Coturnix japonica: one gene and its partners. Each later gene encodes a partner of the first gene's protein in a complex. Links are inferred from orthologs where the notes say so. Each region holds a gene or a part of one and is shown on either strand. Other genes may lie near its edges. The genes, in order: GNAI3, GRM4 and RGS10.

The links.
Region 2: the proteins of GNAI3 (region 1) and GRM4 are in contact, whole or in part, in a cryo-EM structure (PDB 8JD6), measured with the Homo sapiens proteins. The link is inferred for Coturnix japonica from reciprocal best matches to the Homo sapiens genes GNAI3 and GRM4. Residues at the interface, in NP_006487.1 of Homo sapiens: Ala31, Lys32, Val34, Lys192, Asp193, Leu194, Thr219, Phe336, Thr340, Ile343, Ile344, Asn347, Leu348, Cys351, Gly352, Leu353, Tyr354; in NP_000832.1 of Homo sapiens: Pro616, Lys619, Ala620, Gly622, Arg623, Glu624, Arg676, Ile677, Ile680, Phe681, Gln683, Gly684, Lys685, Arg686, Ser687, Val688, Ser689, Ala690, Ile694, Ser695, Pro696, Phe781.
Region 3: the proteins of GNAI3 (region 1) and RGS10 are in contact, whole or in part, in a crystal structure (PDB 2IHB), measured with the Homo sapiens proteins. The link is inferred for Coturnix japonica from reciprocal best matches to the Homo sapiens genes GNAI3 and RGS10. Residues at the interface, in NP_006487.1 of Homo sapiens: Val71, Val72, Ser75, Glu115, Val179, Lys180, Thr181, Thr182, Gly183, Ile184, Val185, Gln204, Ser206, Glu207, Lys209, Lys210, His213, Ala235, Glu236; in NP_001005339.1 of Homo sapiens: Glu62, Phe63, Ser64, Glu66, Asn67, Ala102, Ser103, Ser104, Gln105, Val106, Asn107, Val108, Glu109, Gly110, Leu137, Lys139, Tyr140, Asp141, Ser142, Arg145.

Annotation. Positions count from the first base shown.
Region 1 is NC_029541.1:1,611,817-1,615,559, reverse strand, and holds the start of GNAI3 (guanine nucleotide-binding protein G(i) subunit alpha), read right to left. Parts: upstream 2,850-3,743; 5' UTR 2,714-2,849; coding exon 2,596-2,713; intron 2,121-2,595; coding exon 2,078-2,120; intron 2,003-2,077; coding exon 1,861-2,002; intron 1,446-1,860; coding exon 1,288-1,445; intron 1-1,287. Other genes in the region: GPR61 (G-protein coupled receptor 61), read right to left, coding at 3,556-3,743. UniProt on the Homo sapiens protein: Heterotrimeric guanine nucleotide-binding proteins (G proteins) function as transducers downstream of G protein-coupled receptors (GPCRs) in numerous signaling cascades.
Region 2 is NC_029541.1:4,300,998-4,304,640, forward strand, and holds part of GRM4 (metabotropic glutamate receptor 4), read left to right. Parts: intron 1-761; coding exon 762-898; intron 899-1,418; coding exon 1,419-2,354; intron 2,355-3,643.
Region 3 is NC_029521.1:26,956,270-26,960,012, reverse strand, and holds the start of RGS10 (regulator of G-protein signaling 10), read left to right. Parts: upstream 1-1,395; 5' UTR 1,396-1,399; coding exon 1,400-1,529; intron 1,530-3,743. UniProt on the Homo sapiens protein: Regulates G protein-coupled receptor signaling cascades, including signaling downstream of the muscarinic acetylcholine receptor CHRM2.

The DNA of each region.
Region 1 (3,743 bases):
CCAGGGCTGCCCCATGGTGGCTGTGGGGAGGACTCACAGCAGGTCAGGGCAGCCCACAGCCTCCTCCTGCTGCCCACCACCACATCCAGGTTCGCTGGATACAATAAAAGCCGCTGCACCCCACACTGCCTGCAGCCCTTCTGCAGCCTCCTCCACCACCAGGCTTCCTCTGTACGCTGAGGTTGCAACACTGCTTCCCCACCTCGCACCCTCATGTTTACAGAGCCAGCTACTTCCCATGCTCTGACGCCATCTGGTAAACACAAGCTTGCAAGAAGGGTGGATTCGGTTCACTTGTTTTCTTTTCTTTACGCCCTGAAATGAGGCTCTGGGAACAGAGCACTGACTGAAAGCCCACAGCACGACTTGTGTCTGCCCTGCTGCTGCTCTGAGCCTCCCCAGCTCCTGGCTCAGTAGCTGTGGGGATCCACGGCTCCGTCCCCATTGGCATCACCCCATCCATCTCACTGCAGCACTGCTCTGCAGCGTGTGCTTCCAACCCTGAGACCTCAGCCCTGCAGGGGAGCAGGAGATAAAGCACCCTTAGGAGTACCATGTACCCACAGCATCACCCACACTATCACCACAGGAAGGGCTGCAGTGTGTCAGTGAGGAAGCTGAGGCTGTAACAGCAGAGATGAAGCGCTCAGGGCTGCGTGCTGGGCAGCAGCTCAGCTGACTGCTCGCTCTGTGCATTAGCAAGGCCGGGTGCTGCAGCAGCAGCCAGCTCCTCACTGCACTCTGCAGCATTTCCTAACAGCCCTGTCTTTCTATTCAATCTGTTCTCTCATTTTCAGCTCTTTCCTCTCCCTTTGAACCTGAAGCTGCTTTCCTGCAAGCATCTCAGAAACGCTCCCCCTGCCAGCTCACCTCCCTTGATCTAAACTCAACATCCTCTGCTGAGCTGTTACAGTTTCAGAAGCGCTCTTGCTTATTGTCGAGCTGCATTGTGCTCTGTGCAGACAGAGCCTGCAGGGAGCCGAGCTGTGACTCATCTCAAGGTTCTTATAAAGCATTTCCAAACTCATTTCTCAGAGGCTTCAAACTTGGCCAGACCACGCAGAGCCACCAGGAAGCACAACCGACCCCACAGCCACCCTTCCTCCTGGGTTTACAAAGCAATGAACACGCAGCTTTCCCCACACAGAAGCAACAGCTGTTTGATAGGGACAGGAACCAAAGGAGCAGCTGCCCTCCTCACATTGGTTATCACAGCACTCACAGCCAAGCAGAGGGCAGCTCCTGCCTGCCCACCCCACCACCAGAAGGGCCCAAGGGGTCTCTTACTACGAGGCAGAGTCGTTCAGCTGGTACTCCCTGGATCTGCTGAAGCAGGCCTGCACTCCAGCATCCCTCCACAGCCTCTTGATCACTCCAGCCAGCTCGGCCGTCATCACCCCTTCCTCTGCACTTCCAGCCAACACAAACAGCTGGCGGGCATCGTCCTGCAGGGACAGGAGGGGGGGTTAAGAAAGGAAATCAAGTTTACAAGCTTAAGGATCACTGCAATAGCTGAGAGGTGAGGGAGCCTCATTTCCTAATGGAGCATTTCATCACGAGGCAGCACATAGAGGGATCAGGATGCTGCTGTGAGCCTCAGTGTGACAGCCCACACCTCCATAGGCTCGCAAGCAATGTGTAGATATGGCAAACAGAGCACAGGGACCAGCCAAAGCTGCTCAATGCTCTGCTTCTATAACACGAGGTGGCTCAGGGACACCTCAGGTTTGTGGTTAATGTTGAGCACTTACATTGCAGACAATGAGGGGTCTCCTGTCAATGCAGACACAGCCCCAATCTCCAGCTCTCATTAACACCATTCAAAGCACAAACACAGAGGGAGATCAATGAAGTACTTACAGCTCTGGCCACCTCTCCAAAGTCAATCTTTAGCCTTCCCATGGCTCTTATGATAGCAATGATGGACTGGATCGTATTGCTGTACACCACCACTTTATACTGCTTGCATTCCTCCTCCGAGTAACCATCCTCATGGATAATCCTAAAGAAAACCGAGCTGTCATTGCTAAACCAAACCAGACCGGCAGCTCAGCGGCACTTCAACCCCTTCACTTACTTCATCTGCTTCACTATGGTGCTCTTCCCAGACTCCCCAGCACCTAAAAAGGATAAATACAGAAGGAAGACCATCACGATTGAGTCAGCAGGAGGCCTGGCTTGCTTTAAAACACCCCCCACAGGGCAGCACTCCCATGGTGGCCACACCGCACCATACGGTGCGGTGCGGCCACCGTGGGAGCGCTGCCCTGGGGGTTCTGATAGGCCCAAAGCCCACAGGCCCATTGGTTCCAATAGGCCCAAAGCCCACAGGCCCATTGGTTCCAATAGGCCCAAACCCCACAGGCCCATTGGTTCCGATAGGCCCAATGCACTTAGACAGATCCCAAGCGCATCCCCACCCCCGCGGCCTACTAGGCCCAGCCCAGCCCCTGCGGCCTACTAGGCCCAATCCAAAGCCTGCGGCCTACTAGGCCCAAATCAGAGCCTGCGGCCTACTAGGCCCAATCTAAAGCCTGCGGCCTACTAGGCCCAGTTCAGCCCCGCGGCCTACTAGGCCCGGTTTAGGCCTCTCACCCAGCAGTAGTAGTTTCACCTCCTTGGCCGCCTTCTCGCCGTCTTCCCGTAGGTTCCGATCGATCATTTTACTCCTTTCTACCGCCGCTTTATCCTCGGCGCTTAATGTACAGCCCATAACGGCGGCTGGGCGGAGGCCGCCGGGCCTTCAAATGGAACGGAACGAAAAGGGACGGAGCGGAACCGAACCGCGCCTCTCCCTCAGCCGGGGCGGCTCCCACAGGCGGAACCGGATATCCGCCCAGAGCGACCGTTAGCCGCAAAGCACGCCGGGAAGCACCGTCCGACAGGGCATTTCCGCCTCGGTAAAGTGGTGCATGATGGGAGCTGAGAGGGCGGAACTTCCGGTGTTGTGTGGATGTATTATGGGAGTTGTAGTCTTGAGATGATTGCGGGGCCTACACAGCCCCCAACCCAACACATAGCCCCCCAACCCAATGCTGAGCCTCCAACCCAATGCTGAGCCCCCCAACCCAATTCTGAGCCCCCAACCCAATGCTGAGCCCCCAACCCAGTGCTGAGCCCCCAAACCGATGCTGAGCCCCCCAACCCAATGCTGTTCCCCTATCCCAATGCTGTGACCCTAACCTGATGCTGAGCCCCCAACCCACTGCTAAGCCCCCAACCCAATGCTGTGACCCCAACTCGATGCTGAGCCCCCCAACCCAATGCTGTGCCCGCAACCCAATGCTGTGCCCCCAACCCAATGCTGAGCCCCCCAACTCAATGCTGTGCCCCCAACCCAATGCTGTGCCCCCCAACCCAATGCTGAGCCCTCAACCCACTGCTAAGCCCCCAACCCGATGCTGAGCCCCCAACCCCACCGTGGAGCCCACACATTGGGTCCCCCACCCCTCCACCCCCTCCCCACGTCCCGCCCCACATCCACACACCCACACCACTCTTCCCTTCCATCCTTGTTTAACACCCGCAGCCGCACACGCTACAGCCCCGCTCTGCTCACGGTGCCCCCCCCGTCCGCTCCGTCCCTTCGGCCGCTTCATCCCCGATCTGTCCCGGGATGCGAAAATCGACGGGCGCCGGTTCCCGTTTGGGGCTGGGGGTGCCCAGAGGCGGCGGGGGCAGCTCTTGGGGGCAGCCGGTGCCCTGTAGGAACTGCAGGAAGTTCTCCTCGATGGAGCCCTCCC
Region 2 (3,643 bases), about 2.7 Mb from region 1:
GTCCTGCTTGCTGGGTGTCCCCTGTCATAGGTGACACAGCACCCATAACTGGCTGCCTTGCATTGCTGCTGGCAGAGGTCCCACCGCATCACGCTGCTGTGCCCTTGTCTGTCCTCAGATCTCTGGAAACGCATCTTTTCCTCTGCTCCTCCTCTTTAATAAACATTTTCTGTCTTGTCCTCCTGATTGTTTCTATTTATCTCCTCTCTGTGATCTCCTCTGCAATGTCTCCTATTTATTTCTCCCTCTTGCTTGGTTTTTCTCTTCCCTCCCTTTACTGGTGTTATCAATTGACTTAACATTAAATCTATTTCTCAGTTTTTCTTAAAAGAAGTGCTAAAATGGCCATCATAACAGCACTCCTTGCCTGGCACTACCAATAAATTCCAGCTCTTGGTGGGTCTGCTGGGCTGATCTGTGGCTCCCCATGTGGTCCTTGCATCAGCTCAGGCTCAGGAATGATTTCCTTTCTTTCTTTTCTCCCCTTTCGTTCCTCCTTTTCTTTCCTTTCATCCCCACTTCTCTCTCTTCCTCTTCTTTTCCCTCTTCTCTCTTTTCTTCCCTCTTTTATCCTCCTTTTCTCCTCCCTTTTCTCCTATTTTCCTTTTTTCCTTCATTCCTTTTTTTTTTCCCTAAGCACCCACCCTGAGCCCCAGCTGGCACTGACCACGTGGGGTGGAACACCAAACCCTTGGATGCCATCACTCATGGCACCCTGTGCTGTGGGGAGCTCTGGGTGCTGAGCAGTCCCTCTCCTGTAGGCATTGCTGGGACTCCAGTGACCTTCAATGAGAACGGAGACGCACCAGGACGTTACGACATCTATCAATACCAGATCAGGAACTCCACTCCTGAGTACAAAGTCATTGGGCAATGGACCGACCACCTCCACCTGAAGGTAAGGCAGGGGATCATCATGCAGCAGCTGAGGCTCAAGGGGTGTGTGGATGCAAAGTGTCTTGAGCCAGACACGTCAGCAGGTGTCTGGCTCAAGCATCAGCTAGAGCACCTCTTAAATGAAGAAAGGTCAAGGGAGCATGGAATAGGGGAGGCTCTGGGGAGACCTTATTGTGGCTTTCCAGTCCTAAAGGGAGCCTATGAACAAGACGTAGATCAACTTTTCAGGTTGTCTGATAGCGATAGGACAAGTGGGAATGGTTTTAAACGAAAAGAAGATGATTCAGGTTAGATGTTAGGAGGAAGTTCTTTACTCAGAAGGTGGTTTGACCCTGGCACAGGGTGAGCTGTGGTTCCCTATCCCTGGAGATGCCTGAGGCAATGGATGGGGCAGACTGTTCTGTTGAGGGGCGATAAGCCCATAGCAGGGGTTGGGACTGGATGGGCTTTAAGGACCCTTCCAACCCAACCATTCTATGATGTGACATGATCAGTTGTCCTGATGCCATCTCGCCCCACAGGTGGAGAACATGCTGTGGCCAGGGGGTGGGAGCCAACTCCCCAGCTCCATCTGCAGCCTGCCCTGCAAGCCAGGTGAGAGAAAGAAGCTGGTGAAGGGGATCCCCTGCTGCTGGCACTGCGAGCGCTGCGACGGATACCAGTACCAACTGGATGAGTTCCACTGCAAGCGGTGCCACTTCAACGAGCGGCCCAACGAGAACCGCACCAGCTGCCCCCCCATCCCCATTATCAAGTTGGAGTGGAGCTCCCCATGGGCTGTGGTTCCCGTCTTCATTGCCATCGTGGGCATCATCGCCACCCTCTTCGTGGTGGTCACCTTCGTGCGCTACAACGATACGCCCATCGTCAAGGCCTCGGGGAGGGAGCTCAGCTATGTCCTGCTGACGGGCATCTTCCTCTGCTACGCCACCACCTTCCTCATGATCGCCGAGCCTGATCTGAGCACCTGCTCCTTGCGACGCATCTTCCTTGGGCTCGGCATGAGCATCAGCTACGCTGCGCTGCTCACCAAAACCAACCGCATCTACCGCATCTTCGAGCAGGGCAAGAAGTCGGTGAGTGCCCCGCGGTTCATCAGCCCCGCTTCCCAGCTGGTCATCACCTTCAGCCTCATCTCGCTGCAGCTCGTGGGCGTCTGCATCTGGTTCATCGTGGACCCGTCCCACTCTGTCATTGACTACGAGGACCAGCGGACTACAAACCCCCACTTTGCCCGGGGCATCCTCAAATGTGACATTTCGGACCTCTCCCTCATCTGTTTGCTTGGGTACAGCATGCTTCTCATGGTCACCTGCACTGTGTATGCTATTAAGACCCGTGGGGTCCCAGAGACCTTTAACGAAGCCAAACCCATCGGGTTCACCATGTACACTACTTGCATTGTGTGGTTAGCCTTCATCCCTATATTTTTTGGGACGTCGCAGTCAGCAGAGAAGGTAAGGTGGTGGTGGACCTGTGGGCTGCCAGGAAGGGGCTGAGCAAGGAGGGATGCTTTCTTACGAACCATAGGATATGTTGAGTTGAAAGGGACCCATCAGGATGTGGTTTTGTTGGCTTGGATATCGTGGTAGTGGTAGGAAGTGTTGATTTGAAGCCTCTTGCTCCACTGGGAGCCTCGTCTTATTACCCCTCACCCCTTTTTCTGCATGCTGTAGTCCCCCATTGCCCCTGTATGAACAAGGCTGATGGGGACTGTCTGCTGCTGGGTGGGGAGGATGGGCCCATGGGGCAGCTGTGGGCTGGGGGGCAGACCCAGACCCTGGTGTCATTAGCACCAAGGAAAAATAACCCTGAGCACTACCTGTCCTTCCTCCTGTGCCAAATCAGTGCTCTCTGAAATCCCCCAGAGCTGGGAGCAGCTGGAGGTGAGGGCAGGGAGGAGCAGAACCCTCAGCACTGCAGCGGGGCACACGGCACCTTGCGCCTTCTCGCTCCATTACCACCTTGCTGCGATTTTAATTAACACCCATTTGTTTGGCAACAAGATGCTGACGGCAGATTCCTCAGCGTGGCTGCGAATCACACAAGCTGTGATGGGACGTGTGGCCCTGCTGGAGCTCTGAGTGCCTCTTTGCAGCACTGTGCATGGGGACAGGATGGGTGATGTGAGCACTGGGTCTGCTGCAACCCCCCTCCCCATCCACCTGCCTCCCTCCCTGTGCTGGGGGCAGAGCGTGAGCTACCAGCCTGGATGAAACCCGTGCTCAAGTGAAAACAAAGGGAAAAAATCTCATGAATGAGGAAAAAAAATCCCCTTTGCTTGCCAGACAGAATGGGAATCGCGTTTGTGTTACACACCAGCAGCTCACGCCTGCCAGCCCTGCGACAAATAAACCTCGCTGCTGCTATTCCCTACAAATCCCTGGCATCAACATCCCCAGGGTGACTGCCACTTGGATTCCCCTTCTGGATCCATCACAATTAGGGTAATTATCCCGAGTGTGTCCCCATTGATGCCGAGCTGCTGAAGCAGTGCCTTTTGGAAGCACCTATTGCAGGAGGGCTGGGGTTGGCTTGCTTTTGCTGTGGCCTTTGCATGTGTCCTGAAGTGCTGGCTCTGCTCAGAGCACCTGAGTTTGCACTCACACCTTAAGCTTTGCCTCAGCTAGAAAATCCCTTAGCAAGCCATCCCGCTCTGGCTAAAGGAGTGAAGGAGAATTAAAGGAAACAAATGGAGCCTCTCGCAGCATTTCCATTTTGATGAGATGGCAGGGGAGATACTAAC
Region 3 (3,743 bases), on another chromosome or scaffold:
TCTTTGACCCCAGTAAGCAGGCAGGTAGAGGTACTGTTCCATGATGAATGCTCTTTGCATTGCCCATTCAATGAGGGAGATACTTCATTCCACAAATGAGTTATGTCCTTTAATGATGGATCATTGAACGTGATGAGAAAGAGCAGCTGAGACAACTTATTGCTTCATTCAAGTCTTCCAGTTTGGATTTGGGTCATGACAGGGTGGGGACTAACTACTTAGTTATTGAAATGACCTTTCAGGTTTGCAGGGTGCCTCTAAAGAACCTTTTCTATTTGAGTGTTACTTGAACCTGGAAGCACGAGGATGCTTCGTGTTCTAGGTCTGGAAGAAAGAATTGGCCTCTTAGAGCTACTATATGCCACAGCTACCACAAGGGATCACTGTTGTGCAGCCCTGCTGGAAGCATTAGAGCGTGACTATTGGCTTTAAGTGCAAAACTTGTGTTCTGTGGAGTATAAAGCTGACCTGTACATACGTGAATATGCATCCACCACCGTCCTTAAGTTGTGCTTAAGCTGTGAGCTGTGATTCAGTTACTGCTAAAGCTGTGTGTCTCATTTTCATGCTCAGTCTTTGCTGTGTTTTTAATTAGATGTGCTTCTAGTGGACAGAGATGTGCTCACCTTCCGTGCTGTGCTGCCACCTGGTTCGTAGCAGGTAATCCCTTTCAATGTCCCTTATATCTGTGCAAGATGATGGTGGTCCCCCCTGTTGTGAGTCTTTTGGTTTCTTATTCCTATACTTGTTCTGATATTTGCAGAGTGATTTTAAAAATGTGTTAATTCTCCTTTGTTTTTTTTCTTCCCTTCAGTCTCCAGGTTTGGACTGGATAAAACTCACCACATCTCAGTGTCTTTATCCCTCCCCGCTATCAGCCCTAATTATATTTTAAAAAGCAGCACCAACAGGGCAGTGAATCAGGGCATTTTTCCAAGGTGGAGATGAGTGATGCTGGATAAACAAATTCCCCTTTTTGCTCCTGATTCATGTGGCCATGTCTGAAGCATTTTCCACTGTCTTCACTTCAGGCCTGTTCTATGCTGCTTCCCTCACAAGAAGGATGTGCTTGTTTTCACTGTGTGGGCCTGGTTCTCCAGTGTTTACATCAGAAATACACCTTTACTGCAGTCTAATTGTGTCGTAGCTGAGATAGGGGCTTGAAGACGCTTAAGAGCTTTTACGTTCAGTTTTAAGTGAACTTTCCTATGTGAACGTGGTGTTGAAAGCAGAAATAAAAGCTGAACGTAAACTATAATCACACGGCATGTTTTCATTGATTTAAACGTACTTAAATTGTGCATCCCGTGCTGGCACAGCCGCGTTTGATGCGCTGAGGTGGAGCTGTGTGGTGACCCGCTCCGGGCCCTCAGCGCGGGAGGCGGGAGGCGGCTCCGTCATGAGGCGGCGGTCGGGGCGGGGCAGGCGGGGCCGCCCCCTGAGCTCCGTGCAGCGCGGGGCCGCCCGGCCGCCACGAGAGATGTTCAACCGGGCTGTGAGCCGGCTCAGCAGGAAGCGGCCGCCGTCAGGTAATGAGCGGGGAGAGCGCGAGGAGCCGCGCGGGGCTGATCCGAACCGGCACTGACAGGCGGAAAGAGAGGGAGGGCGGGCGGGGCCGGAGCTTCCCGCCGGTGGGTGCTGTGAGGAACGGGAGGGAGGGAACGGGCTCATGGTTCTGTCGGAGCCCGGTGAGGGAGCGCCACGGCTCCGGATGCTCCGCCTGTAGAACGCTGCGAGCCCGTGAGCAGGGCGGGCTGTGAGCCGCCGAGCTGCGGGGGTGGAAGCCACCAAGGGAAGATCCCGCCGGGGAACGACGCCGCCGTGTCGCTAAGAAAAGCCGAACGCGACAGGAGAGCGAGCACAGAGATGCTCCAGGAGCAGAACGTCCCCCCAGCTTCCTGCCTTAGAGTTATAAGTAGAATCCGGCGGCAGAAAGAGGACGTTGGGCCTCGCCGTGCCGTGCTGTAGGACCCGTCCGGCTCGGAGCAGCTCGGCTCTGCCGCGGGCTTTCCCGTTTCATAACCCGGCGTTATTAACTCCAGGCTGCCGGCTGCAGCTCCTAGTGCTGCCCTGACCGCAGGACGAGACGCGGTGCTGGGAGATTGTAATTAACAACGAAATTCGCAGCTTTGTGAAGCATCCAGGCGGACGGGGAGGAGCACGTGTGGTGCGTACAGTTCTATGAGACTATTCAACACCTCGAAACCTTCTCTTGCTGCCGTATGAGCTGCTGTGAGCCCCGCACGGCGCCCATTGCAGCTGCAGGTGGGAGCTGTCACAGCGCACGGTCCTTATGCAGGGCAGTGCCCAGCTCCATCTGCTGTATCTCTATCAATCTCCATCAGGTTGGGTTTGCACGTGTTTGGTTGCTGAGTGCCAGAGCTGTGAATTCTGCTCGTTGTGTATTTTCAATGCCTGCGTTTGCTGGGTGCAGCTGTTGGCCGTTTGGGATGCTGTGTTCCAGCTGCCCGTTGCAGTGTTGTTGGCACTGCGCTTGGCGCTACATCTGCCCCTTACAATGAGCCTTTATCCGCAGCTCAGTGTGGCAATATTGTTGTGTGACAGGGTAAAGCTGCTGGCAGATTCTCCCCCGGTGCAGCTGTGCAGCTCAGTGCCCGTTGGCTGGCTCAGCATGGGCTGCTGCTTAAAGAGAGGAGGTTAAGAGAAGCACTTTATCGCCTGCTGTGCTGGTACGGCCGCTGGCTGCTGTGCAGGGCAGATTATCAGCAGGTGATGGTAACTGAAGGTTATCTGTATAACTGCCCTTCAGAGGAGGTATTTAAGGGAATTTAGTCTTAAGAACATGAGGGTTACTGTGGGGAAAACCTGCCTCTAAGTAATAATAGAAATTAGGCATTACATTTGTAAATGAAACTCATCCATGGAGTAACGATCCCAATTGGGCTGTGCTGCTGTATTAGGGCTCCATTTGATGGGGTGTAATAAAACCTCCAGGTTGTGCTGTATGTGCTGGGGGTGAAATTGTTGGTGGTTGGAGGGAAATAGAGTTGCCTTGGTCAGATGAGAACAGAGGGAGAGCAGCCAGAGGAAAGCTGTCATCTGGAATCCTATCAATAGAAATGGGAGGTTTTCCTTCGCTGCAAACAGTCCTTCTCACTGTTGGGAGGAGATTGTCCAGCTCTCTGTGCTGCACTGCTGGTATTTTGTAGGGTTTTAAACACAGCTACCAGCTGAAAAGGGTATCTGATAGTATAGCACTGCAAAGATGGCTCTTGGAGATACTTGCTGAGGTTTTGATTCGGGGTGGAGGAAGAGAACATAAGCGGAAGTAAGTAAGATCTTTATTTCCAGTAAGCCAGGAGGGAGAAATAAAGGGGTTATGAAAACAAATGGCAGCTGTACTGGTTACTGGGGGAGCTTTATGTGTCTGTTCAATGCGTAGGGACCCTGAATAGTGCCTGATTCGTGGCCTGCGCTTCTGCTGCCTTCAGCAGACACTGAGTGTAAGGGGAGAGAAGGCCGAGCTCTTTGTGTGTATCTTAGAGTTCTTCAGATCAGCAGTAGAATTCCTGGACTCTTCCCAAGTAATTGGTCTTCTGATGCGTAGCCAGCAAACAGCTTTTTGGCATCGCCAGCCTTGAATGTGATGTACTTTGTATCCCTGGGATGGAGCTGTGCAGAACCACATGCTGGCTGCCCTGGGTGATGCCTGGTGGGTTCAGAAGTCCTGGGCTCAGCCCAGCTCACTGTAAGAGAAAGGAATTTCAGGGGACTTGGAAAGA